Linked DNA regions of Solanum lycopersicum. The protein of the gene in region 1 binds, or shares a complex with, the protein of each later gene. Links are inferred from orthologs where the notes say so. Each region holds a gene or a part of one and is shown in the gene's direction. Other genes may lie near its edges.

Evidence for each region.
Region 2: THO complex subunit 1 (region 1) and THO complex subunit 5A share a complex: the UniProt entries of both Arabidopsis thaliana proteins name them as parts of the THO complex. The link is inferred for Solanum lycopersicum from reciprocal best matches to the Arabidopsis thaliana genes THO1 and THO5.
Region 3: THO complex subunit 1 (region 1) and THO complex subunit 3 share a complex: the UniProt entries of both Arabidopsis thaliana proteins name them as parts of the THO complex. The link is inferred for Solanum lycopersicum from reciprocal best matches to the Arabidopsis thaliana genes THO1 and TEX1.
Region 4: THO complex subunit 1 (region 1) and THO complex subunit 2 share a complex: the UniProt entries of both Arabidopsis thaliana proteins name them as parts of the THO complex. The link is inferred for Solanum lycopersicum from reciprocal best matches to the Arabidopsis thaliana genes THO1 and THO2.
Region 5: THO complex subunit 1 (region 1) and THO complex subunit 6 share a complex: the UniProt entries of both Arabidopsis thaliana proteins name them as parts of the THO complex. The link is inferred for Solanum lycopersicum from reciprocal best matches to the Arabidopsis thaliana genes THO1 and DWA1.

The regions. Positions count from the first base shown.
Region 1 is NC_090800.1:83,526,863-83,532,454, reverse strand, and holds part of THO complex subunit 1, read left to right. Parts: intron 1-975; coding exon 976-1,048; intron 1,049-1,129; coding exon 1,130-1,195; intron 1,196-1,279; coding exon 1,280-1,326; intron 1,327-3,591; coding exon 3,592-3,663; intron 3,664-3,764; coding exon 3,765-3,890; intron 3,891-3,981; coding exon 3,982-4,047; intron 4,048-4,826; coding exon 4,827-4,868; intron 4,869-5,592. UniProt on the Arabidopsis thaliana protein: Acts as a component of the THO subcomplex of the TREX complex which is thought to couple mRNA transcription, processing and nuclear export. Contributes to the integrity of the endogenous trans-acting small interfering RNA (ta-siRNA) pathway.
Region 2 is NC_090803.1:65,321,539-65,327,892, forward strand, and holds the start of THO complex subunit 5A, read left to right. Parts: upstream 1-2,093; 5' UTR 2,094-2,384; coding exon 2,385-2,594; intron 2,595-2,884; exon of another isoform or gene 2,885-3,070; intron 3,071-4,656; coding exon 4,657-4,947; intron 4,948-5,896; coding exon 5,897-6,233; intron 6,234-6,354. Other genes in the region: annexin D5, read left to right, coding at 1-15, 89-178, 877-1,080. UniProt on the Arabidopsis thaliana protein: Acts as a component of the THO subcomplex of the TREX complex which is thought to couple mRNA transcription, processing and nuclear export.
Region 3 is NC_090806.1:70,054,560-70,060,652, reverse strand, and holds the start of THO complex subunit 3, read left to right. Parts: upstream 1-2,286; 5' UTR 2,287-2,403; coding exon 2,404-2,466; intron 2,467-2,607; coding exon 2,608-2,703; intron 2,704-4,857; coding exon 4,858-4,987; intron 4,988-5,561; coding exon 5,562-5,653; intron 5,654-5,924; coding exon 5,925-5,993; intron 5,994-6,093. UniProt on the Arabidopsis thaliana protein: Acts as a component of the THO subcomplex of the TREX complex which is thought to couple mRNA transcription, processing and nuclear export. Contributes to the integrity of the endogenous trans-acting small interfering RNA (ta-siRNA) pathway.
Region 4 is NC_090804.1:20,378,165-20,384,333, reverse strand, and holds the start of THO complex subunit 2, read left to right. Parts: upstream 1-2,331; 5' UTR 2,332-2,642; coding exon 2,643-2,777; intron 2,778-3,402; coding exon 3,403-3,528; intron 3,529-6,169. UniProt on the Arabidopsis thaliana protein: Acts as a component of the THO subcomplex of the TREX complex which is thought to couple mRNA transcription, processing and nuclear export.
Region 5 is NC_090806.1:51,842,053-51,848,339, reverse strand, and holds the start of THO complex subunit 6, read left to right. Parts: upstream 1-2,442; 5' UTR 2,443-2,730; coding exon 2,731-2,928; intron 2,929-3,029; coding exon 3,030-3,049; intron 3,050-3,134; coding exon 3,135-3,239; intron 3,240-3,787; coding exon 3,788-3,858; intron 3,859-6,287. UniProt on the Arabidopsis thaliana protein: Acts as a component of the THO subcomplex of the TREX complex which is thought to couple mRNA transcription, processing and nuclear export.

The DNA.
Region 1 (5,592 bases):
TTTATTTGTTTTTATCTTGTGCTGTTTATTTGTTTTTGTCTTGTGCTGTTTATTTGTTTTGCCCTGTCTTTCTGGAGAATGACATTATTGATGAAGATGTAATATATAGGAATAATAAGGATGCTCATAATGGACCAGTGCTATTAATATAAATCCAATTGCTTTTTTTATACATGTAATGAGGATGAATTGAACCCAATAAAATCAACTCCTTGAAAACAAAAAACTCGGAGAAAGACTCTAATAGTGCATTCCCCTTTACTTGGTAGGGCTTGAAAGACTGGACAACTTCTTTTCCTTTCCTATCTCATACTTTTAATTCAAGCTGAAATAGGAAAACTGCTAGCAACACTAGGCCCAGTGTTTAATTTCGCAAGTAGAGGGGACATTAAGAGGGGCTTGTCCAGTCATGATTATAATCTGGCCCAAAAAAAAACTTGGAGGCTAGTGTCATAGAAGAGATAGTGACCAAGAGATTTCTCTTTTAGAGTTTGAGTCGCCGACTGAAGCAATCAGAGTAAATGTTGGGGAATGCCGACAAAGAGGACACATTATTAGTCTCTTAGTCTCTCTGAATAGATGCCGTTGTCTACCTATCTGGAACTTCAGTTAACTAGAATGTTTAGTTAGATTTGGAGAACTTTTCCTGCACATCTACGGTTGGAAAGTGATTGTTAGAAATATTTGTGCCTTGATTCAAAGATGGAGACGAAAGCCCATTGGTAGTCGTTGCTTGCATCACCTTTTTGATACGTGATGTTTTAATGTTAGGCAATCTATATTTTCATGAAATAAAAATATTATTATATTCAAGCCAATTCAACTATCAGGGGTCAATTAAATTCAAATTTCGCTGTATTTCATTCCTTTACATGGCTGGTAAAACCTGAACAATACTTGTTGGGTACCAGTTATCTTCTCTCTTAGTAAACAAACTGTTCCAGTATTTTCCTGGCTTAACATCTTGTATTGCAGGCAAATGATGTTGTTTTCTGTGGGCGCATTATCATGTTTCTAGCTCACTTCTTCCCCTTATCTGAGCGTTCTGGTATTTAGTTTTCTCTCTCTATATGTGGTTGGATCGCCTGTTTGTATATTGGTGCTAATCTGTTTGCTCAAATTCCTACAGCTGTAAATATAAAGGGTGTTTTCAATACATCGAATGAGACAAAGTATGAGACAGAAGTTCCTGATGGTAGGCATCTTTCCCTTCACTTTCTTGCAGATTTGGTTTTGCACTTTTTTAATGCTAACAGTGCATCAACTTGTTTGGTTTCAGGTATTTCTATTGATTTCAACTTTTATAGAACACTTTGGAGTCTACAGGTTGGTATCAGGTGTTTTGTTCTTTTAGGGGAATACTTTCGATTAGCAAAGTCTGTTAGATAAGCATCCTTAAAAACCTAACATCATGAGATTATTTCTGCATTTCCTGGTTACCCAGTTGCTTTCATACTCGTTACTTCTGAAGAAGTGTCACAGAGTGCTCTTTTACAATTTTAGTGGGAGCTGGAGGTCCTGATATAACTTCTAAAGAATTTACCGCTAAATGTATAAAAATAAAGCATTTCTTTGAATCCATTCCAAGTTTTGCTGTTGATTATCATACTGAATCATGAGGTGCAACCTCTATCACCAAAGCAGCAACACAATATTTATTACAAATGAAGTCATCAGGATGTCTTTGTAACATTGAAATCCTAGTTGATGCTATAGATGAAGTTCAGAGATGAGACTGTTGGTGAGAAACCAGAGGGACAAAGAATTGTTAGTAAACATAGAAGACAAGGAAATAAAAGAATGGATGTATATTTTATGTTATATAAATATATAGACCGGGGCGGGTGGGGAAAATATTTGTGTAAAAGAGAACAAATGCACCTGAACTGGAAGGTTAGGGTTTCTTTGATGTTGATATTACTGCAAAAATGCAGTTTGGGTTTTATGATGATATTACAACATGAAGTAAATTAGAAATGACAAAAGATAGCCATATTTGGCATGTAGTTAGGCTTCAGGGCTTGATCTTGCGTTAAAAGTACGTACAAGCTGGCTGTAGTTTGAGAAGAAGTGATTTGAGCTAAACCAATGTCTGGGTAGCACAACAACCTACTAAAATCCTGCAGCAAAGTTGCAGATTTGTACCTATTGCATAGCGCCATGGTTTTATAGCATACTATCACCATTTGGTGAGAGTGGTAATTCTGATTGTGGATTAGTGGATTCATGGATTATTTCGTATTAAATTTGCTTTTATTAATAGGTATTGGTAAATATTTTAAAAATCGACCCCTCCCCCCAAGAAAGAATCTTTCAAGAAGTATAAAAAGACTTAGTAACCAAATCATGTCCTCTGTGGAAATGATATCATCACTATAAATGGCTATAGAAAATGTTACGAACTCTATGGACATAATTTAATCACTTCAATTGGCTTATTTTAAATTCTGATTTGTTGGTGCTGTAGATGCAATCCCTGTTTCAATTGCATATTCCCTTTTCTCAGTTCCTTCTGTCATAATATCTGAAGGAGGTTCTCTTTGGATATGTCCATTATCATTTGCCATTTCATAATCGTTTCTTCTCAATTTCATGTTTTGCGGTTGCATTACCTTGAATACAAGATTAAAAAGGAATATGTGATTTAGGTCCTTCAAGTGGCTTATAAATGCTTTGCAGTGGGAACTTTAACTTTTGTTGTAAAATTCCTCCACTAGCATGCTTGAGGTATGAGTAGCCATCTTACACTTATGCTGCATTGACTACCCAGTGACCTCTATCGTCACACGCAATGCAAATAGTGGGTACTTGGTCATCTGTGTTGTATTGTTTTCTAAATCTAGTGCAGCCCAGTTAGGTACATCCCTTAGAATCAGCTGTTTCCTGATGAAGATGAAGGCCTGATAAAGTGCCTATTTGATGTCTCTACCACTACCTATGTGTATTGACCTTCGATTCGTAGAAGTTAAAGCTGTAGCTTAGTTTGAATAGTCTCCTTCACAGATGTGAGAACACATTTCTATGTAGTTTTTTTTCATTTTTATTTGTCTTTCTAATAGGAGGTAAGAACAGCAATTTATGGATCAAGTGAAAGAGAAACTCGTGGAGCCGAAGTGGGGTGAGAGAAGGCAAAGAGAAACCCATTAAAATCCAGTAACTATTAGTGTCCAGAAGTTTGTTTAGCAAGGAGTTAGGTTGCTTTTAGCAAAGCATAAGCTAGAAAACCTTCCTTATGTAGTATTTCCTTAAAGTTACGGGGAGATATAAAGGAAACTGATACAACCATGTTCTAGCTCTTTGATTCTGTCAAAATTGATTCCCGACCCCCAAAAGAAACGGATGTAAGCAAAGAGATACTGTCAAACTTAAATTTGAAATTATCTCCCTATACTCTTCTAAAGCAGTCATGTTTGATAATTAATAAGAGTGGCACATCAGATTACGGTGATAGGGGGTCGTCTCTTGTTGAATTCAGACAATCTTTATTTATGTATGAATCACTGCATTTGAAGTATCTCTGATAAGCTCTGGGCATGTGCTTCCCCCAGCTTCCTGTCTTGTTTAGTAATTTTTTTAGCTTTGCTAACTTAGGAATACTTCTGCAATCCACCATCCTTGATTAATGCTCCCGGCAAGTGGCACAAATTTACATCCAGTTTGACGGTACACCTCTTTGTCTGTTAAAATTCTTTGTGATGTTTCTGTTGCTGTTTTTTTCATTTACCATATGTAATGTGTGATCAATTATTCTTTGGGTCTTGCAGCTTGTTCTAAACACTTTCGAGGCTCAGCCTTTAAGTGATGAAGAGGGAAATGCTCATAACCTTGAGGATGATGCTGCAACCTTCAACATAAAATATCTTACAAGCAGTAAACTTATGGGTCTCGAGGTATGGGAGCATTTCCCAATTTTGAAGGCTCTTTTTAAGCAAAAAAGTAGCAAACCCAATAGCATATTCCTGATCATTCTTTTTGTCTCAGCTGAAAGATCCTAGTTTCAGGCGCCACGTTCTGGTTCAGTGCCTCATTCTGTTCGACTATTTGAAGGTAATGATAAGCATGTTGTTAGTTTGAGTTCAAAGTGCAAGTGGATCTTTTAGTAGTAATGTCACCTTCCAACATTAGTTGAAGTTCAGTAAATATATTTATTTTTTTTACAAATTCCAAAAATACTATTGACTGAACTTCAACTAAAGTTGGAAGGTTTTTTCTACTTGAAATTCACATTATCAAAACATCAAATTCAGGTGCATATCTTTGATTTCGATCAGGATCATGACAATCCAATGTTTGATAATCATTAAGTTGAAGATTCTCTAATATACGGTGTCAGTAGGATTCTTAAATGTCTTCGGAGTGGTGTAACATTGGAGAAGAGAGCTAATGAAAACGTGCAAAACGTGCCAAACTTTGTCTCTGCTGGAGTTTTGCTGAGGGAAGCTGTGAGAGTAAAGTTAGCCGAGGGAAGGAGAAGGAAAAACTTTGTAGTTAACTGATAGAGAGGAAACAGTAGATTACGTGGTTTGTAACTTATCTAGAAAGATCTCCTATTGATCTAGTCTCTTGTCATGATGGGGTCATTTGGCTATGACCTACATGTTTGACCATTAGTTTTTGTCCATTATGTCAACTTCCCCTTGAAATAGGGAATTTGAAGTTGAAAGCTTGTTTAAGCATGTCAAGTTAAATAATGGTCCGCTCACAAAACTTCAAGTTGTTTTAAGCGAAATTTATGACAAAACACAACCTCAACTTGCAAATACTTTTTCTTTTTTAAAACTTCAACTGAATAGTGTCCAAACTTCTACTTGTTCGTTATCATGCAGGCACCAGGGAAAAGTGAGAAGGAATTGCCCTCTGAAGCAATGGTTGGTATTGCCTTTGTTGTTTATTTCATTTCATGCCGTATCAGTTTTTTAGTGGTCCTTGATTCCTGCCATTGCTCTCCCTTTGTGAATATATATGTATATATAAAATATAGCACACACACTGATGCATATCGAGATACTTGCGCAAGGGTTTGCCTAGGCGTGAAAGTAAAACTGTTTCACATAACTGTTCGGAAGGACTACTCTTTAATCTTTATATGCTCCTTCCAAAAGAAAACCAGGGAATAAATGAGGCCTTTGCTCTTTAACTTATGTTCTGATAGAAGTTCTCTGAAGGAAACCTTGCAACTGTTAACAGAAGTGATTCTCTATTACAATCTTTAGACTGCTCTTTTCTAGAATGTTGCAAGTTGCAACAGAATTCATGATGATATAACTGATGTTCTTAATATACAATGTTGTGGATAATGAAGAGTATTATTTATGGTAATTTTTGATGTTGCGTATATCTGGGCTACATGTCCTTTCATAAGTTCTTTTCCCTGTTCTATTCTTTACTTCATTCTCATTAGCAAGTGTTATCTTTTGCCTGAACGGGAACCTGTTGTTCCTACATATTTTTTTTCTTTCAAGTGGAAGAATGAGAAAGTAGAACCCACCATTAGGTGGATTGCTATTCTATGGAACAAATACACGCCTAACACAAAAAAATTACTCTCATCCTGTCTCAGAACCACAGCTATCAAGAGAAAACAGAGGGTGG
Region 2 (6,354 bases), on another chromosome or scaffold:
AGGAAGTTAAAAAAGGTAAGCTGACTTCATTTGAGAAACTTATTCAAATTTCCAATTGTAGTTAACCAGTGTATTGCAATTGTTACAGGCTGTAAAAAGTGAAACCTCTGGACTCTTTGAGTTTGCTCTCTTGACTATTTTGCAATGTGCTGAGAATCCAGCAATATACTTTGCAAAGGTACAAGTTACATTTGTTTAAATTCTTATCAAGTCATAATCATGATGACCATTTTGCCTATAATATTAATATATTCTTGAACTCATGTTTCTGACTAGCTCTTTCTTTTTCTGAAATGATATTGACCCCTTTTTCATTCTTTATTCTAATGCGAGGGTTGAGTTTGTGGTTGGTAATATGGGTGTTGTTTACTTGTGTTATTTTCTCTTTACCTTCCTTGACTTAGATGAACCAACTTAACTTTAAAGTCAGACTTATAACACTTACCTATTAAATTGGTCTATATACGTATTTGGCATTTGTATCTAGTGTGTTTGGTACGAAGGAAAACATTATCCACGTATTGTTTTCCATTTTTCTCATGTTTCGTTGCTCATATTTGAGAGAACATTTTGGTAAGGATCACATTTTCCTCTAATTAGTTGAAAATGACTTCCTCAAGGATCCAAGGCAGTAATAAATTCTTCTTATTCTTGTTGTCTCTATATCTCAAGTTTGACATGGAATGGGATTCTAAAGATTTTCATGTTTTTACTATAGCATCCTTCATTGGGGGCTTCAGAATAATCTCTAGTACTTTGCTATAATCTGTGTTATCATTTTTGTCTTAGATTTAGTAAGCTATGCTAATTCTTACATGAATAAATTGTATAAACTCTGTGGCTGTACTGCACCTTACATATGTTAAATGGATTCAGGAGTTACACAAGGCAATGAAGGGCTTGGGGACGAATGATACAACTCTCATAAGGATAATAGTCACGCGAACTGAGATTGATATGCAGTATATAAAAGCAGAGTACCAGAAAAAGTATAAGAAATCTCTTAATGATGCTGTTCATTCGGAGACTTCTGGTGATTATCGGACCTTTCTTCTATCTCTTCTGGGGCCTGGTCACTGAATCAAGAGTCTACGCCATGCAACAGGTGTTATTAGTGTGGTATTAGTGTTGAAACTAGTGTGTAAGCAGTTTCTATTGTATGCTAATTATTGTTTGCTTATTTGCTGAGTAGTTGATTTGGAACAATGTCTGTCCATGATCAGTTGGATACCTTTTTTAGTTTAGTCGAATGCTAAGTGTGAATGGTGTTGTGAAGGTGCTTTCAGATGTACACTTATTTGGGTATGTTTGGTACCGGAGGAAAATATATTTTTTCCCACCTAAATTTCTCATGTTTGGTTGGTTAAATTTTTTGAAAAATATTTTGCAACATCCGTTATTTCCTGCCCTCACTTTAATAGATTTGTTGTTTGTGCGGTCAGTATTTTATATTGTTGAAAAATTAAGTTTATACTTTGTTCACTGATTATGATGGTCCAATTGAGATTTTTTTACGTATGAGTTAGAAAGTCAACTTTAACATCTCTCAACCATGTCATAATTTTATTCATCTCATTGTAATCGCGTTTAGTAAATTTTGACTGTGTATGACTGTGTTGGGTAGGCAATAATATTTATAGACTATCACGTAACTTTGACCAATCATTCCTTTAAAAAAACTCTCGAGAGCCACAAATATTAAAAGAATGGACAATAATAAGTAGTTGAAGAAAATTTGTTTTCCTATTCAATTTTAAATGCTACATAGATTGCTCTTTTATTATAGGGTGATGATTTGCTTCATATATCTCATTTTAAGGGTATTAAGTATGTTTTATACAATTAAACAAATGAAGAAAAAAAGGAAGTGGTTTGAAAATATAATTGTGTCTAATGGTAAATGATCACATTAAAAGTAGTATTAAAATTTTGAAGTCAAACTATTATTGTTGTTATTATTATTTTTAGAGCGCTCGCTACTTTATTTGCTTGTCGGAAGTTATGACGGACTATCAAATTTCCCAACAATTTTTCAAAAATTTTTGATTAATTAAAAAATAAAATATTAAAGGAAGGAATTTACTAAATTTGTATTTGTATTTTCTAAACGAGTAAACAATGTATCACATAGAAAATAATTTTTGAGTAATACAAGAACATCTTGAAACAAAAACATATCTCTTTTTAAAAAAATCTTTTGCCTAATTTTTTTTCCTTTTAAATTATGGAAATTAATGCTTAAAAAAGGAGAAAAAAGAAGGAAGCAATAAGAAGGGAAGACCGAAGCGCTCGCTCGAGCAAGAGTAAACGGATCAAACCCTAGTAACGTACACATCCAGAAGCTTAATGTACCACTTAAACCTGTAGGCAGCGACTGAGTAAAGATGAAAATGGACGTAACCATGGGGGAACCCGGTGAGATACTGCCGGAGCACAAGCCGGAAAGGTCGCCGCACGAGGTTCTGCAGCAAAGCAAAGCTTCAGTAGAGGAAATCGTCTCGAAAATGCTTTCTATGAAGAAAGAAAGCACGCCGAAATCTGAAATTCGCGAACTTGTCACTCAGATTTTCATCAACTTCGTCTCTCTCCGTCAGGTTAATATTTCATTGCATCTCCAATTGTTCCTTTTTAAAGTTCTATGAGTCCAGTTTCCAATTAAATAATCCGCTCGTCAATCCGATTTTGAAGTAGAGGTAGCATTTTGTTGTTAACGAAGTGATTAGACCAGTCAAACGAAGATGAGTTTAAGTTTAAGTATGAGCTGTTAGTACTCTAGACTCAATTTTTATATATGTATCATCCTTATGAATGTTGGTTGATGTAATTCAATGGACTCAGCTACAATACTCAGTGAGAGACTGAGAGTTGCTCTAAACCTTTGTAGGTAGATTTACCGGAGACCTGTGCTTTTTAGGTACAGCTGCCCTGGCGCTAGTTCATTTGGGACTATCATGGAGGGAGTCTATGCATAGTTAATTAATCGGATTTAGGAAACTGCGACCTTTCTCCGTTGTATTCTATTTTCATCCTGCAAAACACCTGTTAGTATTGTTTATCTTTGATCACTCTGGTTGGTAATCTCAACTCAATTTTATTTATTGAGTAGTTCTGATCTACGTGTACATAACAAACAAAAAGAACTGTATACATGTGCTTCCGTTTCTTCCTTTCTCTTTTTGGCAATTAAAGAAACATTTTATTAATTTCCAACTACCAAGTGAACTCTTTACAAAGCTAGGATGAAATATGAATTAACCAATTCAATCCTTTCTCATCTCATCTGCTAGAAACCAAACTAAATGGCAAATATAGTTAACTGCTCATTTAGTGATTCTACATATCTAAACAACATCCTACTATTCCTAGTTCTTGTGTTCAGAGAGAGCTTCATCTAAGTGTACTAGTTTCTCCTTGTGCATGGATGTGATTTGCAAAATCTGTCTGTTTCTTTCTGGCCATATACCATAAACCACCATAGTTAGACTACTTTTAAGTATCATCTTCCTTGGATCTTCGCCTCTGAAATTTTGTTGCATCCAACTCCATTCAAGTTCCCACTCCAGTATTGCCTTGATCCTTTTCTGCAATTTGCATATGTCGCTCCATATATCTTTAGTAAACTGACACTTGAAAAATAGGTGACTTCCAGTCTCGACTAAAGTGCTGCAGAAGATGCAAACAGGATATACACGAGTCCCCATCTCAAGAATAAATTTTTAGTTTTTAGCTTCCCCTGTAGACTCAGCCATAGGATGAAACTGTGTCTAGGTACAGCTATGTTATGACATAACAATTTATTTCATTTTGGTCATGGTACTAGGAAATGGAATCCTTAAATGGCGCCTTATATCACAATAATATAAGCAGCTGATTCTGTAGAGTGGGCTGCAATAAGGGCCCGGTGTCATTATGTTAATGAAAAATGGCTCGGCAGTATGTTGACGAATTGTCCCTCTATAAAAACAAGTTTTATAAGTCCAGGGACATGAGAATAGATCAAAAAACAGGGAGACTCAACCGTCTCCTGAAAGAGATGCAGCTTTGTTGAAAAGACAATTATCTCGCTTGCAAACATATCTGGGCGAGATTAAATATATGACTGGGGTACCCGATATTGTAATCAGCGTTGATCAACACGAAGATATATGGCCCTGTGAGAGTGTTATTACTTTAGGAATTCCGACAATTTGTTTCTCGAAGATTAGGTCTAGTTGTTAGGCTGTACCCTTAATATTGGAGAGTCGGTTGTATCTTCTTGTGTTTAAACTCGAATTCTGATTGAATGAAATTATTGCTTGATTGCTTTACTTCTCAAACTTGAACATGCTTCACTGCAAATTGCTCATATAATGTCTCTTAGGGTTGCAGTTATTATTGTTAGGCTGGACATATTCCATGTAAAGTTTAGATTCATATATTTTTATTTGATTTTTTGAGCTCCACACTTTGAGTAAGGTACTAATCCTTGAAATTTGTGGAACGTTTTGGGCTCTCTTATTTCATCTTACCATTATTAAGTTGTTTTAATAAACCAACGTTAGGATTGCGGAATAGCAAAATAATTGTGCCATTAAATCTATGCACGGAAGTAATTTGTGCCTGGAAATCTATAATATGTTCGACTGACTTTTTCACACTACCTTAAACGTCCCATAGGCAAATAGATCAATATTGCTCGAAGAGGATCGTGTGAAGGGGGAAACTGAACGTGCAAAAGCTCCTGTGGACTTCACCACGCTGCAGCTCCACAACTTGATGTATGAAAAAAGTCATTATGTGAAAGCTATAAAGGCCTGCAAAGATTTCAGGTCAAAATATCCTGATATTGAACTTGTTCCCGAGGAAGAATTCTTTAGAGATGCACCCTTGGAGATAAAAAACACTGTTCTGTCAAATGATAACTCACATAATTTGATGCTAAAGCGGTTCAATTTTGAGCTATTCCAGGTAAACTAGTTTAATGCAATTGGCGAGCACTTCTTTCTATTTCCGCACTAGTAATTGGCGAGCACTCCTTTCTATTTCCACATTAGTAATTGTTTACTAGTGTTCTTTCTCAGCATGTTGTGCGAAACGGAGTTGTTAGAAGTTTCATGTTGCTTGGTGAATCAAATTCTTATCTTTATTCTTAAACTCTATGTCTTTATGTACTATCATCTTTCCTTTTTTTTTTCTTTTTTTTTTTAAAGGTAATATTATAATCATCTTCTTTATTTCAATTACTAAACTGGTTCCAGAAGTAGATGTTGTGAAGAAAGTTTCATACCCAATGTTGTTACAATCAATAAAAATACTCTGAAACTATACCCAGTTTGGCTACCCTTTAGTGATGCTTTTGACTGTGGATTCTGCACATATTGTACTTATCTGTTCTTTTTTTTTAAAATATATGTTATGTGTAGAGGTTGTAACATGTTATTGCATGAGCTCGAAAAAATCTTGGGTATTTTAGTATTGGCTAATGTTGAGGTCAAATTTTATGCTTCTCTTGACTCTTTTATGTCGCTAAGTTTGAGGTCACATGGAGGTTTGTACGTCAATGGGGAATAGAGATATTCTGAAAATATACCCACCTTGACTTCCCTTGTAGTGGTGCTTTCAGTGGATTCTGCACATATTGCACGTGTATAATCTTCTTATAATGTAGATGTTGCAAAATGTTATTTCATGAGCTGGAAAAAGATCTTGGTACCATTTAGTATTGGCTAAAGTTGAGGTCAAATTCTATGCGTCTCTATTTAGAACTTGTATTAGACAATATGTATCAGCTGTATGTTGCTTTTAGTATAACAGCTACCTCTTATATGGTCATTGGAGGAGTGGCTGAAGCTCCTCCTTTTAGGTGTGATAAGTCTGACTGTAGCTTTGTGTTGAATTTACTTATTTGCTGTGTCAGCGCAAAGAATTATGCAAGCTTCGTGAGAAACTGGAACAGAAAAAGAAGGCTCTACAGGAGACCATTGCAAACAGGAAGAAGTTCTTGTCAAGTCTCCCATCGCACCTAAAATCACTCAAGAAAGCATCCTTGCCGGTGCAGCACCAGCTTGGAGTACTCCACACAAAAAAGTTGAAGCAGGTGCAATATGCAGAGTTGCTTCCTCCGCCTCTCTATGTTATTTATTCACAGCTCATGGCCCAAAAAGAAGCCTTTGGAGAAAATGTGGATCTGGAGATTGTTGGTAGTGTGAAGGATGCTCAAGCTGTTGCCCGCCAGCAAGCAAATAAAGACACTGGTTAGTCCAATTCTCTGTATTTCTTGTTTGGACTCATCATTTTTTTCCTTTTTTTCCTAGTTAAGTACCTGTTTTACTTCCTTTGCTCTTCTATATGTTCTTATCTGAATGGTAATTCATT
Region 3 (6,093 bases), on another chromosome or scaffold:
TTAAATTAATTCAAAAAAAATTATATTAAGAATAAAGTTTCATCTAAATATCCTATAGTCTACATAGTAAATTATAATATGTAAAATAATCTAAAAACCTTAAATAATTATCTAAGCCATAAAATTTCGTGTGCATTCTTAAAGAATTAAATCCTTTTATTATATTTAAGATTTTGAGGTATTAATTTCTTCCATAATATACATTTGATTGAAGTAATGGTATTTTACAAAAAAATATAAAATCTATTATTTGTAAAATTAACATTAAAAAGATTATCGATTAATCAAATTATTTGACTTAAGTCGAGTATAATGACAACACTAAACTTGTTTTCTTCTCAATTCTCTATGATTTTAAAAATGTGTTTCTATATGCGAGCACAAAATAGTTTCACTTTTTTAATAGATGAATGATAAAGTTTTAATTTTTAAAAAATATATAAAATTTTTCATTATTGATTTATATACCTACTTGATATTCAATAATCTTCACATAAATGAGATATCAGATCTATATCACTCGTCATGTTATATTGTATTTAACAAAATAAATATATTGTGACACATTAAATTTATATCACTTGTCATGTTATAATTATATTTATTGCCAAGTATATTATATTTAAAAATTAATCAAAAGAACCTCTAAGAAATTGATGATTTGCAATTTAATCATACAAATTTAGTATAAAATATGAAAGTAAATATATTATATATGAATTACCATGTAGATAGTTCTCTATTTTGAGATATTTTCCTCAGTAATTTATTGTTCAAAATTTATTAATATAACTAATTCAAATTTATCCGAAAAAAAAAAAAAGACAACATGGAAAAAGTTAACAACTTTTTACTGTATCACCAAAGACCATCCTTGTGCTTCACACCTTAAATTAGTGGATTTTGTGGTAGGTGGCTAATAATTTCTTTTTTTGTTTGTTTGATATTTTTGTTTATTTTTATATTATATAAAATTTATGTAACAAAATGTATTCTTTAGTATAATATTTTATCTAAATTTAAAGTTAAAATATTTAATTAAGAACTAAAATAATTTATTTTTAACTGTAATTTCTTTGAATTCTGTCAAAAGAGACTATAGCTCAGCTAAAACTTTAAGATTAACACTAATGAATTTTTTTAAAATTATTTTATAATTATAATATTTGAATAAACTGATGAATATTTTCGATTAATTGCATGAAGTATTTAATTTTTTCAATTATATGTCCTTTGAAACATATCATGAATAATTGTGTTAAATTATTCGCTATCAAAATATCATACTAGTTTTATATTATTACTCAAATATAATCTAAAAAACCCACTTTTAATTCATTACAAATTAAATATACTTAATCAAATATCACAATGACTAAAATTATGAATAATTGAGGGAATAAAAGTAGAATTATCTCTAATAGTACTCTTAAATGGATGAGATTGGACTTTCTCCACGTATTTAGGAAGTTGATTGAACCTTTTTATTTTAATATTTCTTATATTCTTTAAATTGCTTTTTTGAATAGATGGGCAAGCTACTTATTTTATTTTATATCTAATCCCCAATCACATCAATTAATCTCCAGAAAAAGTGGGAAATAAGAAGTATTATTTGTTCAAACTTTTGAATTAAATTTAAAATTATTGAAAATGTTGTCTTGCTCAAAAGTCATAATTGTACAGTTTTGACAATTATTTGATAGGTACTAATATTTTGTTATATGTATTTTTCAATTAATAGACCAAATAAATAAATAATATAAAAGATATCATTTTGATGAACACTTTGACTTATGCTTGTGAAAAAATAAAATATTGTTAAAAAAGTAAATATATGCCAGTACACACAAACATGTACAATAAATATTTCTACGATTAATTCCTTCACAATTATTAGATGAAAAAAATATCAAAGATTAATTTCCACCATTTATATTATTATTTCTATAAAATATATGAATTGTTTCTTTATAACAAAAGAATTATAATTACGGTAAATCAATGGATCTTAAATGTTATACACCAAAATAATTTATTAAAGTTGAACACTTCTAGCTCTTGATCATTGTTATAACACAAAATATGTAACTCGTTTAAATTTAAACCTTGAAATTCCCGTTTAGATGATTTTTTTTTTCTGTTTAAAAGAGGGCTCACCTATTTCTCATGAGGCAGTTTCAACAAAAATAACTACTAGCGACCATGTGTTAATTACCAAAAATGCTCAATTTCGACAGTATAAAGGACTATTTTAGACCATTCTCAAACTTAAAGGACTAGTCTATCATTTTCTAAACAGGGTTGGCATGAAACGACAATATTGTGTGTCGTTTTGTTCGTCTTCTACACAAGCAAAAAAAATATTCAGAGAAGTAAACGGAGCAAACAAGCAGAAGAGTAATGGCGGAAACAATACCCTTCAAAAATCTTCATAGCAGAGAGTACCAGGGACACAAGAAGAAGGTTTCTCTCTCTAAAACTATTCCTTCACTTCATTGTTAACAATACAACCCTAATTTTGCTTTTCCTTTTTATGAACTCTCTGATTAGATGAATTGACTATGTGATACTTTATCTTCTCTGTTTTTTTAAAAAAAATTAAAGGTGCATTCGGTGGCATGGAACTGCAGTGGCACGAAATTAGCTTCAGGTTCTGTGGATCAAACAGCTCGTATTTGGCAAATTGAGCCTCATGGTCATGTAAGCTTCATGAGCTCATCTTTTTTGTTTTCAGTTAAGTTTTAATGCTGAAAAAAGGATAGCTTTTTGTTATTGCTCTGATTTTTAAATGTTCTACTGAAGTGGTGGGAAACTGGGTGTTGTAAATAAACTGAAAAAAGGATAGCTTTTTATGATATATGCATGAACTTAGGCACCTGAGATTTTCTCTAGAGTTAAGAAGCTGGTCTCTCACTTTAGTTGTTTCTGCCAAAGTCTAGTTCTATGTGGTATGAGTTAAGGAACCTATGATAGTAATGCCTGTTGCAGTTAGGTTTAAATTTTGTTGTTACTTATCAAAGGTGGGGTAAAGTAAGCGTAACCTCACTTGTGGGAGGTCATACGAATTCGATGTTATAGATACACAGAGAGGTTTGAATTGGGAGAATGGGTAAAAAGATGCAGAAATGCTCCAGAGTTGTACAGGATGGTAAAATATCGCATGTCCCAGCTCAACGCACTTGGTGTGGAGTTATAGAAAAGCTGGAAAGGTAGCAAAGGAACATTTGGGATGCGGCGGATGGGACAAAGAAGTTTCACCTAGTGGGACGGGAGACCGTGACATCTCCTAAACAGTGGTGAGGACTTGGGGTTAAAGACTTGAAGGTTTTTAACAAAGTCCTCTTGGATAAATGGCTTTGGAGATTCGAGATGGAGGAAGAAGCTTTATGGGAGGGGTGATAGCGGACAAATATGGAGTTATGGAAGGAAGATGGAGAACAAATGTGGTTACCTTCCGAGTTTGGCATGTAGAAGAATATAATGAAGGGGTGGGAAGCCTTTAACAAAAACATTTTCTTTTAAGTTTGGGGTTGGGAGGAGACTAGTTTTTGGGGGTCAAAAGTGGTGCAGTGATTTGGTTAAAGAATGATTTCTTGGTGTTGTATAGCATTTCTGGGCAAAGGGAGCTGTCTGTTCAGCAAATTAGGGGGTGGGACCTTCTGGGATTTCCGAAATTGGGAGATGACCGATCTTCAAAGCTTTCTAGTTTTATACCATAAGCAATGCAAACCAGTAGATAGACCTGATGCTTTGAGTTGGGAGTTGGTGAATAAAAAAGTGTTCTCTATTAAGTCCTATAAAAGCTTCCTGTTAGGGTGGAAGTTAGTTTTCTGTATGACTCGGTATGGACACCTAAGGTGCTGAAGAAGGTGTATTTCTTCTTGTGGTTAGCTACTAAAGGGGTGATATTGACGGTGAAGAATCTTAGGGAATGAAAGGTGGTGGGCATAAGTTGTTGTTTCTTGTGTCAAGAGGCAGGAGAGGACATGATCAATATTTTGCTACATTGCAAAACATCTCGAGGTTATGGTAGGATATCTTTAGATGGTTTGATATTTCTTGGGCAATCCCAAATGTCTGTTGAAGTGTTGATGTTCAGTTGGAAGAGTGGAGTTAGGATAAGAAGACACAAGGTGTGAATGTTACTCCTCTTGCAGTAATGTGGGTCATTTGGAAAGAGAGAAATAGGAGAGCTATTGAAAGGGTGGAGAATTGGAGATTAGCTTTGCTCAATTGAGGAGTAGTCTCCGATCCCTTATTTTCTTTTGGTGTAATTTTTGTTTGTATAGAGGATTGAGGTGTCTTTTGGAGAACCATGTTTGGTAGGTTTCTCCTTTTGTGGTATACTCCTTTTATATGACCAAGATAGCCTTGTTATTATCAATTAAATCTTTTACTTGGTCATAGACCAGATAAATTTTTACTTTGTTAGTAGATCGAGTGCTCCATAACTCTATATCATTTGTCATTTCTCTTTATCAAGGCTATAAACATACTTTTATCTTGTTTCATAGTCGCAAAAATCCCAAGTTCCTCAACTTTGGAATTTGCATGAAGATTGAATGATATTTTGCTTCTGTTGCTCTGTATCAATACTATAAATGTACTTTTATCTTGTTTCATAGTCACAGATCCCAAGTTCCTCAACTTTGGAACTTGCATGAAGATTGTAGTATATTTTGCCTTTGCTTGCAAAAACCTGAACAATTAATAGCTTGCCACCATAAAACTACACTAAAATGATTGCGCCCTATCTATGTTTTCAATATTCTAGTCTTTTCTCATTCTTGAGAGGTGGAGTATAGAACCTCTTATGTCTGCATACACTCCAAGTCTCTGATAGCTCTTTTGCAGGGAAAGGTAAAAGATGTTGAATTAAAGGGTCACACCGACAGTGTGGACCAGTTATGTTGGGATCCAAAACATGCAGAATTGATAGCTACAGCATCTGGTGACAAGACAGTTCGATTATGGGATGCCCGTAGTAAGTTTATATTATTTTGCACCAGCAATAAGCTGCCAAAGTACTGTATGAAATAATGAGTTGGAATTTAAAGAATGTAATGCTATAAGAGCCTATGTCTATTGGTTACTTGAGGACTTGCACTATATTTATTCCCATAAAGTAATCATCCGAGAACAATATTACTCCTGTTTCAAAAATAATTGGAGGGGTCTAGCGTAAGTGGGTCAAACCTGTTAATTTCCGGTCTCAATTCATACATCAGTTTCTTATGTCTAGAACAATCTTATATAGTTAGAAACTGGAAAAAAGAAAACTATAAATTACACATTCTAATATGAAAATATTTTTGGTCAAAGAAAAGGTTATTTGACTGCTTAGAAGTATGTCATGTAAAGTGGAACCCAGGGGGGTTGGGTATGAGTTAGGTAACTCTACATGCACTTTCTTCTTTATAACTACTAATCAAAAACTCTACGTACACTTTCACAGCCTAGTTTCCCGTCAATTTCCAGGAAGTTGAAGATATTCATATGTTTTTATTTATTGGTCAGGGTGTTGCAGATGCTAAAACATTTTGGTCTCCATTTGGCAGGTGGGAAATGCTCACAGCAAGTTGAACTCAGTGGGGAAAATATCAATATCACTTACAAGCCTGATGGGACACATATAGCTGTTGGGAACAGGGTACTCATTATTTCTGTCATTTATTAATTCCTAAAATAAGCACTTCTATATTCTATTATCTTAGCTGCTTATAGATATGTATGTAGTCAAAATGAGTGCAGACAAAAACAGAAATGTATCTTAGCTTCATCTCTTTCTATTGCATGTATTTTCTATCATTCATATTTATGATGGTGAGTTTTATTGGTGATATTCTGTGGAGTTCCGTACTATCTGCTTATCATGGAGATTAATTTGGTGCATATTCTTATTCAGTTTTTTTATGGTACAGGATGATGAGCTAACAATCTTGGATGTTCGCAAGTTTAAGCCTATTCATAAGCGCAAGTTTAATTATGAGGTAGTCTCTTCCCCAGCTAAGTTTACGGTGATTCATAAGCCCATGTAGTAGTTATCAAAAGTTATGTAAACTTGACTTGTGCTGTACTGGGTTTAAGCCT
Region 4 (6,169 bases), on another chromosome or scaffold:
AGGACATAAACCTCATTTGTAGGTGCCAAGACAGTTCAACGGGTATACTAAACCCTTTGATAATGTCAACAATTTTATCCTATTATTCAAGAACAAGATTGACATTGTCGATTTATGTTATGACAAAAAATAATTAGTGATGGCACATCGATATTTAGAATGTCTTTGTTGCTTCAACTTCTTCCGCAATGACATCCACATAGATGCATCAAAAATCTATTTCTATATTACTTATTTGTATGTATGAGTATGTGTTAATTAAAACAGTGAGATGAATTTACCTCATCAATCCAACACTTATTGGGTTGGGACATTTCGTAAATCAGTCCTTCTTTGAAAATGCAACTACAAAATCAAGTTGTTCGAATCCAAATTTCCACCCATTGACTAAGTAGTTATCATTTTTGTCTTCTATAATTGTGTAAACATTATATATAATTATTTAGTGGACATCAAGAAATTCTAATAATAGCTGAAATGACTTTATTTTTTTATATGATATCTGTAGAGGCCATCGTTCATCTATTGCGAGAAGGATGCAACACTAGCAAAAGATTGAGCTGCTGGTGAACTTTCTTGTGACATTTTATCTATAAGATAAATAAAAAAAGCTGAGAATTTACAACTAATTATAAAATAAAAATGGGTATCAATTTATACTTATTTTGACAGAGATGGACATTTATTGCCACAAATGTACCTTTTGTTGACACACATGAATCTTCTGTTTCAATATATGAGTAACATGTTACTAAAGCCATTTTATTGCTCTAACACATATGTGACATGTTCAAACATATAAAAACTATGTTGTAATATATATCAACATATCACCAATATGTTGCAACATATGACACATTTTTTCAACAAATAAAATATATGTTGGACAACTAAACAAGACTATATTTCTACAATCATATGAACAAAATGGTCACAACAAGAAGAATAAAAGCAACAAAAAATGACTTTTCACTGAACTACAACAATGCATATATATTTCTTGAAAAATAGGGTTTATTTTGGGTTTGTGGATTTTCTTTCAAAAATAAGAAATAATCAATATCATTACACCATTATTTAATTTTCACATATATAGAACGATTTCTTGTTTATTAACCCAAGAAAGAACTTAATATCAAGAGTGTGTTGTTCGAAAGTAGTAATATCTTAAGAAAATGACTTATCTGTTTTAAGTCAAACACGACCTTCAGTTCAGAAAGAGAAAGTGACAGCTGGAGATAAGGAGGAAGAGAATGAGAGTATTTGTTGAGGGTCGAATTTTCTTAAGAAAACGACTTATCCGTTTTAAGTCGAACACGACCTTTAGTTTAGAAAGAGAAAGTGACAGCGAAGATGAGGAGGAAGAGAATTATAATATTTGCTGAGGGTTGAATTTTCTAAAAAATTAGAAGATAAGCATGTTAAAAAGAAGAAGAAAAAAATTTAGGCCTTATTTGTTTGCACTTAATAGAGGCCTTAATCTTAATCATTCAGATTCAGTCTATTAAATATGTTTGCTTTTTAGATTTGAATTTTAATCATTCACATTCAGCTCATTAAGTTTATTTATTTTTTCTTTAAAAAAATCTCTTAATGGGTCTTAATGAGTCTAATTAGATCAGATTTATAATAAAGTCTTAATATTTTTCAGACTCCATTAAAATAATAAATGTCTTTTCATAAATAAATTCTATTCTTCCTTGCTTATCTTCTGTTCAAATTTCAAATTTCTTCCTCTCCTTTTCCAATTGAATACCATTTTTCTTTTGAATAAGTAAGTTTTCATAATCTTTTACAAGTATTTAATTAATATTGTTAATATATAAAATATTCTTAGATGAATTGATATTTATGAAGAAATATTTTTGTCACAATTCGTTTATTGCCAAAATTTCTTTGAAATAAGTTATCATTATTTCTTGAGAAAAAAATTGTTTGAGAAAACAAATAAATCATTTTTTTTGCGATTGGTTATAATCTTATTCTTGAAACAACTTTTTGGAAAAATTATCTTGTGTTTGGATTATAAATTTTATTGATATAATGTTTAATTTATAATTTTATAAATAAATAAATTATGCACATAGTCGATATTGAAAACAACCAATCTTAATAATTCAGTGTTTAGACCTAGAACTACATCTTAAAATTCATTTTTTGCATTCAGATTCTAATACCTTGATCGTAATGTGATTCTTAATATCCAAATGTATATTTAGGTTCAAATTCTTAATCTTAATAAAAATAAATAAGATCTTATAACTAAAGTAGTTGAAAAATGTAATTTCTTTTTAATATTTTATATAAGATTAGAAAATTTTGAAAAATGTTAATTTGACCCTTTATTTGTCAGTGTGTCACCAACAAAACCATCCCTTCGACGCCTTTCATTCAATTTTCTCGAGTAAATAATTCTTTCTTATAAAATAAATAAGAAAAAGAAACCCAGAAAAAAGAAGGATCAGAAATTTGTCGCAGAGGGGCATTTATTTTCCTTGAAGCTCCGAAACCCTAAAAATAGAAGAAGTTGATATCGCCATGGAAAATCTTCGAAATTAGGATTTGGTGTTTCTCTATCTTAATTCTTAAAAAGCAAGTGCCAAAACCCTAGGTCGTAGGGTTTGTCATCTTCGACAACAAAAATGTCTCTTTCACCTTTGGAGTATTTGTACTTTACAGAGCACTCCATCAAAGAGTTGAAAAATGGAAACACCAGCTTCAAATTCGCTCAACCACTTCCCACTCTTCGCTTTCTTTATGAGCTCTGCTGGGTTATGGTATTCATTTTATTTATTTATATATTCAATTTTGAACTATTTGTGTTCCGTTTTAGATACTTAGGATTATTTGGAACTTCCATTATTATATAATTGAGTTAAATCCATTCACGTTGTTGAAATATTAGTTTGTTATTTGCTAAGATAGTGATCTTTGTAAAGAAGTCTGATTATGTAGAAAACCGATTAATAGATAATTCACTACTAATTTAATCAATTTGTTGAACTAATAGTTGGTTTATCTGCAAAAAAGTGATTTTTGATAAGTTTGATGAATTTAAAAATGCATTATTACATAATTGATTGAAAACTTTATTCAATTTATTGAAATACTTGGTTAGTTGCTGAAAGGTGATTTTTTTTGACATGTTTGATTATTTGGAAAGTCGATAAATAGCTAATTGGTAAATTATTGATCCTTTTGGGTGTGGTTAATTGGTTATTTGCCGCAAAACACTTGTTTCTGTTTGTAAATTTATTGAATTTAAAGCAACATACTGATTAGATCATGTAAAAGAACTAAAAAAAAATCCCTGAAAGGATATTTTTGTTAGCTTCGCTTTTCATTGGTTTGTTGCTTTGAGGTCTGTGAATTGATTGTTTTGGGTTGTTTTGGGTGTTCAAGGTTCGAGGTGAGTTGCCGTTTCAGAAATGTAAATTGGCATTAGAGTGTGTGGAGTTTGTGGACTATGCATCTCAGGAGGAGCTAGGGTCGAGTTTGGCCGATATTGTTACCCAATTGGCTCAGGATGTGAGTTTTCCTATTCCCTTTTCTTCTTATTGTCAACTATTAATCCTGAAATTACTGTCCATATTTGTTTACTTTTTTTTTTTGAAACTGGTAACTTTAGTCTATATATCCACAGGTATACTACAACAAAAGTGTAGTTCCCCTTCAAAAGTTTTACAAGTTACAGAATAAAAAAGTCTTAGTCTAAATTAGTCTTAATCTAAACTGCTACCTATAACTAGCACATCAAAGATATCTTCTGTCCTAGTTAACATATCTTGTTCACACAAAAAATAGAAAAGAGCTAAGCAGTCCATCTTGATCTTCTGTAAGCTATTCTGCCAATTTTCAGAACTCCAACTGTTTCTCTTTTTCCAGATTGTCCACCAAAAACATGCCGGGACAAGTTTCCATCTCTTCTCCTTGTCAGAAGCATTGCCATCTCTATTCCAGCTGCTCAGGATTCCTTTAATGCTCCCTGGTTTCACCCATCTTATCTCCTTTAGACAGATGAACATTCTCCATAATTGTTATGTCTATGTACAATGCAAAAAAGATGGTTAATTGTCTTAGCATGTTCTCCACATAAAGTACATCTCGAAGCCAACTGAGAGCCTCTTTTCTTTAGATTTGATGAGTCAAAACTGCTTCTTTTGTTAATAGCCACATGAAGCAGTTTTCTCTGTAGGGTACTTTTGGTTTCCAGATGATCTTCCATGGCCATTCCATCTCCTGTCCAGCATTCTTGTTGAGTTCCTTATAGACTGAATTTACTGAGAATTGACCTTTGGCATCATTCTGCCAAACTAATAAGTCCTCCTTTTCAGTGAGGTTGCTGAAAGAGCCTACTGAATTTTGAAATTCTGCCACTTTGTCAATCTCCCATTCTGAAGGTTCCTCCTTAAGAACAAATTCCATCCTTGTCCAGTCCACATTGTCTCTTAATATGTGAAAATACAAGGGTATCTTTGTAAGCTACATTCACTTGCTGCTCTGGACATCAAACAAACACCCTTGATTTTGGCTTATATACCTGCAACCTGAAACATCAATTTCTTTGTTGGAGTTTTATGAATTCTATTTCTTAGTATTAGCTTAATTTGATGAATGGATGAGTATATTTAGTCAAATATCGACTTGTAAAAATCTCATTTCAGTAGGTCAAACTTGACTATATGTTGTTATCACTAGCATTAGTGGCACTAGGTACAGGTGGAAAATAAGAGTAGTTTTTCAGGTTTTCTTTGGTCATTATCAGGACATATGTATGAGTTACAATAGGATGCAGGTGAGTGGAATTGTAATTGCAACAGTCAAGTAGCTAGATAAGCTCTCTAGGGACATATAGGAGCACTAAGTTTCCCTTTGGGACCATAGTACTAATAGAAGCCGGTGTATAGGACATTAGAAACAACCAATCTGTTGCGAAGTCCAGAACAATCAGATTCGTAAGATCTGAATTTCTCTGGTTTGAGTTAGTTCCAAATCATTGAATTTAAATTGCTATTGTGCATGTTTGATTTTGTAGATCTTTTTGGGTTTGATAACTCAGTCGGCTGGTCAAATGCTGTTGCACATATTTCCTTTCCTTTTGGTGTTAATTTGAGCTTGTAAATCATTATAGGCTCCCTAAATAGTTAACCACACATGCATTTTCGATTTTGCTTTTTGATGTAAATACGAAGATTTATCTTAGTGATGAATTGTTAATATATTTATGTAGTTTTTTGTTTAACTGACTTCCTCATCCTTATATTGAGTGTATCACATCCTCTTATTTATGCTGATATGGATAAAAAATGCTAAAACTGATAGTTTTGAGTACAAGCTTTGATAAGATAAATGATTTTATTAATGGTGGAGAAATCTCCCATAGGTGTATACAAGAAAGTAGAGAATCTACAACATAGTGTGAATCTCTACAATTGACACCCAATATGCTATAACTATACCATAAGGTCACTACACTCCAAAAGAAACTAGAACTGAGGCTGTTCCTCCAATGTCGATAGTTGGTCTCTGTACCTTCGAAGCCTATTCTAATTTTCTCCTTCCAAAAGATCCGTATGGGTGCTAGCGGGGCTACATGTTATGCTATGCCTAATGAATAAGTTCCTCTATTGTGCATGACCTTTGTACTCAGAATCATCTCATCCCGTCACAAGTGAGTTGCTAATTGTAGAGATGTGGTCCATATCTTCACCTCAACATTTGCATATAAAATACTTAAGAGGTCTTTTGGTGTGATGGATAAGAGGGTTCCGTCCCAGGATAATTTTTGAGTGCCCTTTAATCCATTGTATGGTTGCAAAGGTTGGGATGACTTATCCCAGGATTAACAATTAGTACTGGGATAAGTTATCCCTCCTGGGAGATGGAATTGTAATCCCAAAATAACTTATCCTGTGATGAAGGTATATAAAATAACAAAAGTACCCTTCTTAAACTCTCATGTATACACCACTTTTACATTCATGTATATTAACATAATCTTAACAACATTTAAAATAACATTCACAACCTTAATTATTTGTGTTTTTATATAATATATTTTTTTTATTTTTCTTTGAACATTGGTAAAGTTGTAACCTTCAGCATTAAGGACATGCTGGCCACATTCAAAAATTTACAGCCCTAACCAAAATTACAAGCTCTCTATTAT
Region 5 (6,287 bases), on another chromosome or scaffold:
TAATTGATGCAGAGAATTATAACAATTGCTATGAAAAGTATAATAATTTGCTTATTTGTGTAAGATTACTATCAAATTTATTTTTATTTGTAATTGGGTCAAAGATCACTATATTTATCATTATATATGAGTGTTATAACCAATAAACAATCATTTACTCATTATAAATTGATTAATTTACTCATTATAAATTGATTACATATGAAATTGTAATGGAATTGATTGTCCAGTATCTCAAATAACTATCTCAATTCTCAATATATAAGATCACTATCTAATATAAATTTTATTTTAAAATTATATTAACACTACACTATTTATCATTAAATATGAGTGTTACAAAAAAAATAATTATGTACTCATTATAAATTGATTACATGTGAAATTGTAGTGGAATTGATCGTTTGATATCTCAAATAACTATCTCATTATATAAGATCAATATCTAATATAAATTATTTTTTAAAATTAAATTAACACTGCTTTATTTATTATTAAATATGAGTGTTACAATCATTAAACAATTAATTACGCATTATAAATTGATTATATGTGAAATTGTAATGGAATTGATCATCTGGTATCTCAAATAATTACATCATTTTATAAGATCACTATGTAATATAAATTGTAAGCGTAAATTAAATGAAACTACTCAAATTTTCATTAAATATGAGTGGTATTGTCAATTGAATTAGCCAATTAATTTGCTTACTTATTAAAGAAAATTTAGTAATTTCTATATAAAGTACAACAACTTTCTTACTTTTTGTGGAAAACTTCAGCAATTGCTATGAAAACTACAATAATTTTCGTACTTGTTATAGAAATTTTGAGCAATTTTTGTAAAAAACTATAACAATTCGTTTAATTGTTGTAGAGAATTTCAGCAATTGCAATAAAAAAAATATAACAACTCATTTAATTGTTGTAGAGGATTTCAGCAATTGTTATGAATACAACAATTTACTTATTGTTCGTAGCAAATTCAAATAAAATTACAATCCAATATAGATTTTCCTTTTAAATTAGTCAAAATCCTTATATTTATTATTAAGTCTAAATACATAAAATCCATCCTGAAGTTGGCAGCAAAACTTGTTTTAGTACTTTAACTTTACGGGTAATTATTTGCCCCCCTAATCTTTTTGCAAGTGAATTAAATAACACCTTACATATACAATACCAGTTTCATATACATGGGTGAAGTGCAGGCGCTCCACCTAAGTGTCACATCGATGACATGTTAGATAATTATTATTTTTTTACTTTTCCAAATCTTTTTTAAAATATTATTTTTCACTCTTCACCCACCCTCTTCATTATTTAATTTGGGTCAATTTCTTAAGATCCAAAATTTCATATTGATTGATTCATTTTATTTTTCATTGCTTTGTAATTATTTACTATTACTCCCATCAATACTTATATCAGTCACCATATATTTTTTTCAACTAGATGAAACTATCAATTCATATCAACAATGGCGATTTTAAATTTATGCAAAATTGATAAGCTAATTTTTTAGATTTGATGTTGCTTTACTTATTTCACTTCTTAATACATATTCATGTATAGATTAAGTAAGGTTATAATTAGATGAATAATTATTTTGTCAAGGAAAATCAAATCTCAAAAGTAAAGGATAAAGAAAATTATGTAGATCGTAAATGTGATTTTCTATTTTTGTATATCCAAAAAATGTATAAAATCCATCACTATTCTTTTCATCTATCACTAAAGATTCATCCCGAGTCAAAAAACAATTTCTTATTTTCATTTTTTTTCCTCTTTCCGTTATAATAATGTAGTGCAGTTAAATAGAAATTTAGTTACATGCCATCGATATCATTTTGCTAAATCAAAAATATCCATAAAATTTCTATTATCAACAAACGCCTACTTAGTATTAGTATTAGTATTCATTGGAATCTCCATTTTATTATAACTTTTTGCTAGCTTTAAAAAAATATTTGAATCTGTTCTTATTTTGATTCTTAGTTGTGGATTTTTGTGTATTTGTTGTCTGCAATTTTTCTCTCAAGGAAAACCGATCTAGATATATCCATCTTGATGGTCTCATGTCACCTCACTTTATCCCTTTTGCTTTAATCAATTCCCTTGAGATCAATGACTTTGAGGAAATAAAAATTCTCACTTTTGTTAGGACATGTTTAAAATTTCAAATTTTCAATTTGATTTTGTTTGGAGTCTTAAAAAAAAAAAAAAACTTTACTTCCGTTAGCTTGAGTTTTGATAAGAGGATTTGCCATGATAGCAAAAAATTATAATTCAAAAGTAATATAAAAATTTATATACAAAAACAATGCAATGAATCATCAACCGTTACAATCTCAAAATCCTAGCTATGAAAGAAAAGAATATTACCTTAAGGGGTAGATGACGACGATGACGAAAAAGATAAATTGAATTCGCAACTTGAGAGGAAGGCATTGAAAAGTCGTAGCAATAGAGTTGTTCGCAACAATGTACCCAAAATACACTGTTAACTTGAGAGAAAAGAAAGATAATGAGAATTGGGTTTATTCAAGTGTTTTAAAAATTTAAAAAATTTAAATATTGTATTTTAAATTCCAATTATCTTAATCTCTAATTAATTTTTTTTTTAACTCGGATCAGTAATTTGTCACCAATTTTAATTTCTAAACACTTTTTGTCAAAATCCCCTCAATTATCTCGATTCACTACACACAAAACATTACGGTAACAATGGCGACAGCCATGGACTGCAGAAACTGGGAAGAAGACATATACAGAGATTCCATTATACTCGAGAGAGAATCTCAATGTCGAACGGTCTTCCGGACTGCATTTGCCCCGAACCCGGACCATAATTCCTATCCGGACCTCATCGTCGCCGCCATTAGCGACGGCTCCATTGCGGCTTACTCTATCTCTTCTTGCCTTGTAAGCTCAATATTACAGTCTATAAAGTAGGAAAGAACGTTAATATAGGGGTTGCTCTACAAACTAATTGCTACTATTTAATTCCTTTTTCTTATTGATAGGGATTGAACTCAGCGGGCAAGTGAGTTTCTGTTGTCTCAATGTTTTCGAAGTGTTCTGGTCAGGTTTTATTTGGATTGATATTTTATTTGGTGATGTTGGTTTAGTTCATTGGTGCCAGTAGCTGAACCTAGTTGGCTGGTACAAGGACATGATGGACCTGCTTATGATGTTAAATTTTATGGTAACCATGAAGATTCACTATTATTGAGGTAGCTTTTCAGAATTTGCGTCTATCTTTCTGTACTGATAAAGCTGTAGGTAAATTTGCACAGATGGGAGATATTACAACTTTTTTCTTTTGTTTAGAATCAAAATTATGGGAAAATGTTACTTCAAGTATCTAAAATGCAGGTAAGAACTTTTAGCTTGACTAGAGCTCATATGCTATATTGCTTGGACTCTTCAAAAATGTCATTGGGTGCGTGACGAAGGATTCTCCAAAAGTAGTGTATTTTTGAATAATCTGACACAGTTGAGGCATCAAAAGTGAAGAGTCCGTGCAAGTTAGCTCATATGTTAGGGCAAGTAGAGAAAAGTTGTAAAACTGTTTCGTACGGAGGTTTTAGAGAGTTGTAGTTAATGATTGAGCTGTGAAACTATGTGAAGTAATTTTCTTTTCAATTAAGTAAGCAAGAGAGGCAATTATCTTGTGGTACTTATTACATAAAAGTAAATAAATCCTATTAATTTCACCGGTTAGTGTTATTTATTCTATCACATGTGCCAATTCTTTGTTAATATATGTAATTTCATGCAGTTGTGGTGATGATGGTCGGATTCGAGGATGGAAGTGGAAAGAAATGTTGGGATCTACGGAATCAGCACAAGGTAACATCTTTTTTGTGTGTGCAGTAATGTATCCTTGAGTAGTTTGAGATTGAGGTGTAGTTATATTGTTGTTGAATGACGGATTCTAACATCCTATTTATGAACATTTAAAAATGTTGAGCTCCTTTGCTTGGATTTGCTTCCAGTTCTAGCATCCAACACTTTTGCTGTATTGAAACTGATGCAGCTGAATGATTTGTTTGGCGGACAAACTTGTTATAATGTCCTCACATTATGAAAGTAAGTTCAGGAGGGGAAAGAACAGGGGATGCAATGTATATGTATTTGTGTCTTTCATCAGCTTACCAGATTAGAAGTTAAAAATGTCAATTCAGCAACTTCAGATTTTCAATCTGCCCCTCTTGTAGCAGTTCAGCTGATGTTTTTTTTTTCTGATGAAGGTAACAACTTATATTAGATCACAAAAAGGGCTGTGAAGCAGTATTCACAGGAGTATTAGAAGGCAAAAGCTACTATTCTAGGAAGATATCTTCTAGCAAAAAGGAAAACTATAGAGACTCTAGGACTTGAAGTAGTGTTTCAGTGTCTTCTATGTATTCTTGTTTACATTAAAAATGAAATAGCAAAATAGAATTAAACTTTATCTTTTGGATTGGGTTTCTTTTGCATTCAAAATCAAAACATCTTTAATGTCTTTCCTTCTAAATATCCCTCCATATGCATCCTGGGATTATGCTCCATCTTCTTTTCTGAACTTTGGTGCTCCCTTTTCTTCTCCAGCTAGATAGCATCTCTACTGAACTCCCTGACATAGTCCTGCTCAAGCCTACATAACCCAAAACAAATCCCAGAGTTGGGTGGTTACTCTGCAGTGCAGGAACAAATGATTAGTTGTTTCTGCAGTTCTTCCATATAAAAGACAGATAGAACATAGCTGTAGTTGCATTCTTTGTTGCTTATCCTGTATCGAACAAGCCTTTTTACAATACAAAGCAGGGCACCTTATATGGAATCATAGTCTTTCTATCTGTGCTTCCAAGGCCAAAAGTCACTAATATTGTTGCCATAAATCAGCTAGTGGTTTGCTGTTTTGATTGAGAATTCACCTGAGTTGTGGGTTTTTCCACCATAATATGTCTCTGAGGAGGGTGGTTCCAGTATATTGAGCAAGTGTGTCATAGAATTCTGCAAATCTGCTAATCTCCTATAGCTAAAATTCCATGGGAATCAGTCGGGACACGGGGAGAGATGGAAGATTGTCCCAACCTGCATTTGGTGGACTATATGGATGGAAAGGAACCAGAGATGTTTCGAAAACAAGAGCCGCTCTCTGCAGAAACTGAAGATGAACTGTCTAGTCCTTTTTTTTTGGGTGTAACACAAATATCCTCAAGAAGAGGATATTCCTAGTATTTTAGAATTTATGAAGCTTAGTAGGGACACCTCTCCCTCTGTAATTTTGTTGCAAGTATACTGGAATACTTTTCTGAGTATTCCTTTTGTTCATAATACAAGTTACCTTCTTCAAAAAAAAATAAAATTTCCAGCCAAGATTACTCCATTCACCAATTTGGCTCTTTGCTACTGATTCAGGATCTAAACCTCCATTAAGAGAAATTTTAAGGATCCAATTCAAGCCAGTTTTTTTGAAAAACGGTAATGTTGTATTCCTCAGCATTAAGGACATGCTGGTGACCTCCAAAAATTCGTACATAGAGGGACTTGGAAGGCTAATTACAAAAAGCCTAACATATCCCTGCCACTGTAGGATGTCTTGTCCAGCCTACAAACCACTGAATTGGTCAATGGTGCTGAATAATTTTGCTACTCTTGGTATTTCCCAATCATTGAGGTGTATCCTGAACACAAATTTCCACCCTTAAGGTGTCCACAATTCTGCTATTGTGCTGTGTTGATGTAAAACTAAGTTATAAATATGTAGGAATAATGTCTCCATGTTGCCTGCTTCATGCCAATCATCCTTCCAGAAGACAATTTTAGCTCCATCTGCCACTTTGACTATGGTATTAACTTTGAATTCATTCCACGAAATTCTGATAGATTTCCATAAGCTAACACCATAAGGAGTAGTGATCCCTTTGTCATCCAATTTAGCTTAATGACTCTAGCTCAAAGACTTCGATTTTCATTTGAATATTTCCATAGCCATCTCATTCTTAAAGCTTTACTCTGATTCTTCAGATTTTTGATCCCCAATCCCCGAATCTTTTCTCATTGATCACTGCCTTCCATTTGACTAGGTGGTAACTCTTCTTGTCTTTGTTCCCTTGGCATAGAAATTTCCTCTTGATGCTATCCAACCTATTGATTATTCCTGTTGGGATAGGAAATCATGACATCATATATGTTGGAAGTGCATCAAGCACAAAGTTTATCAATATCAATCTTCCACCCATAAAGAGATATTGGGACTTCCACCTTGCTAACTTCTTCTCACATTTCTCAAT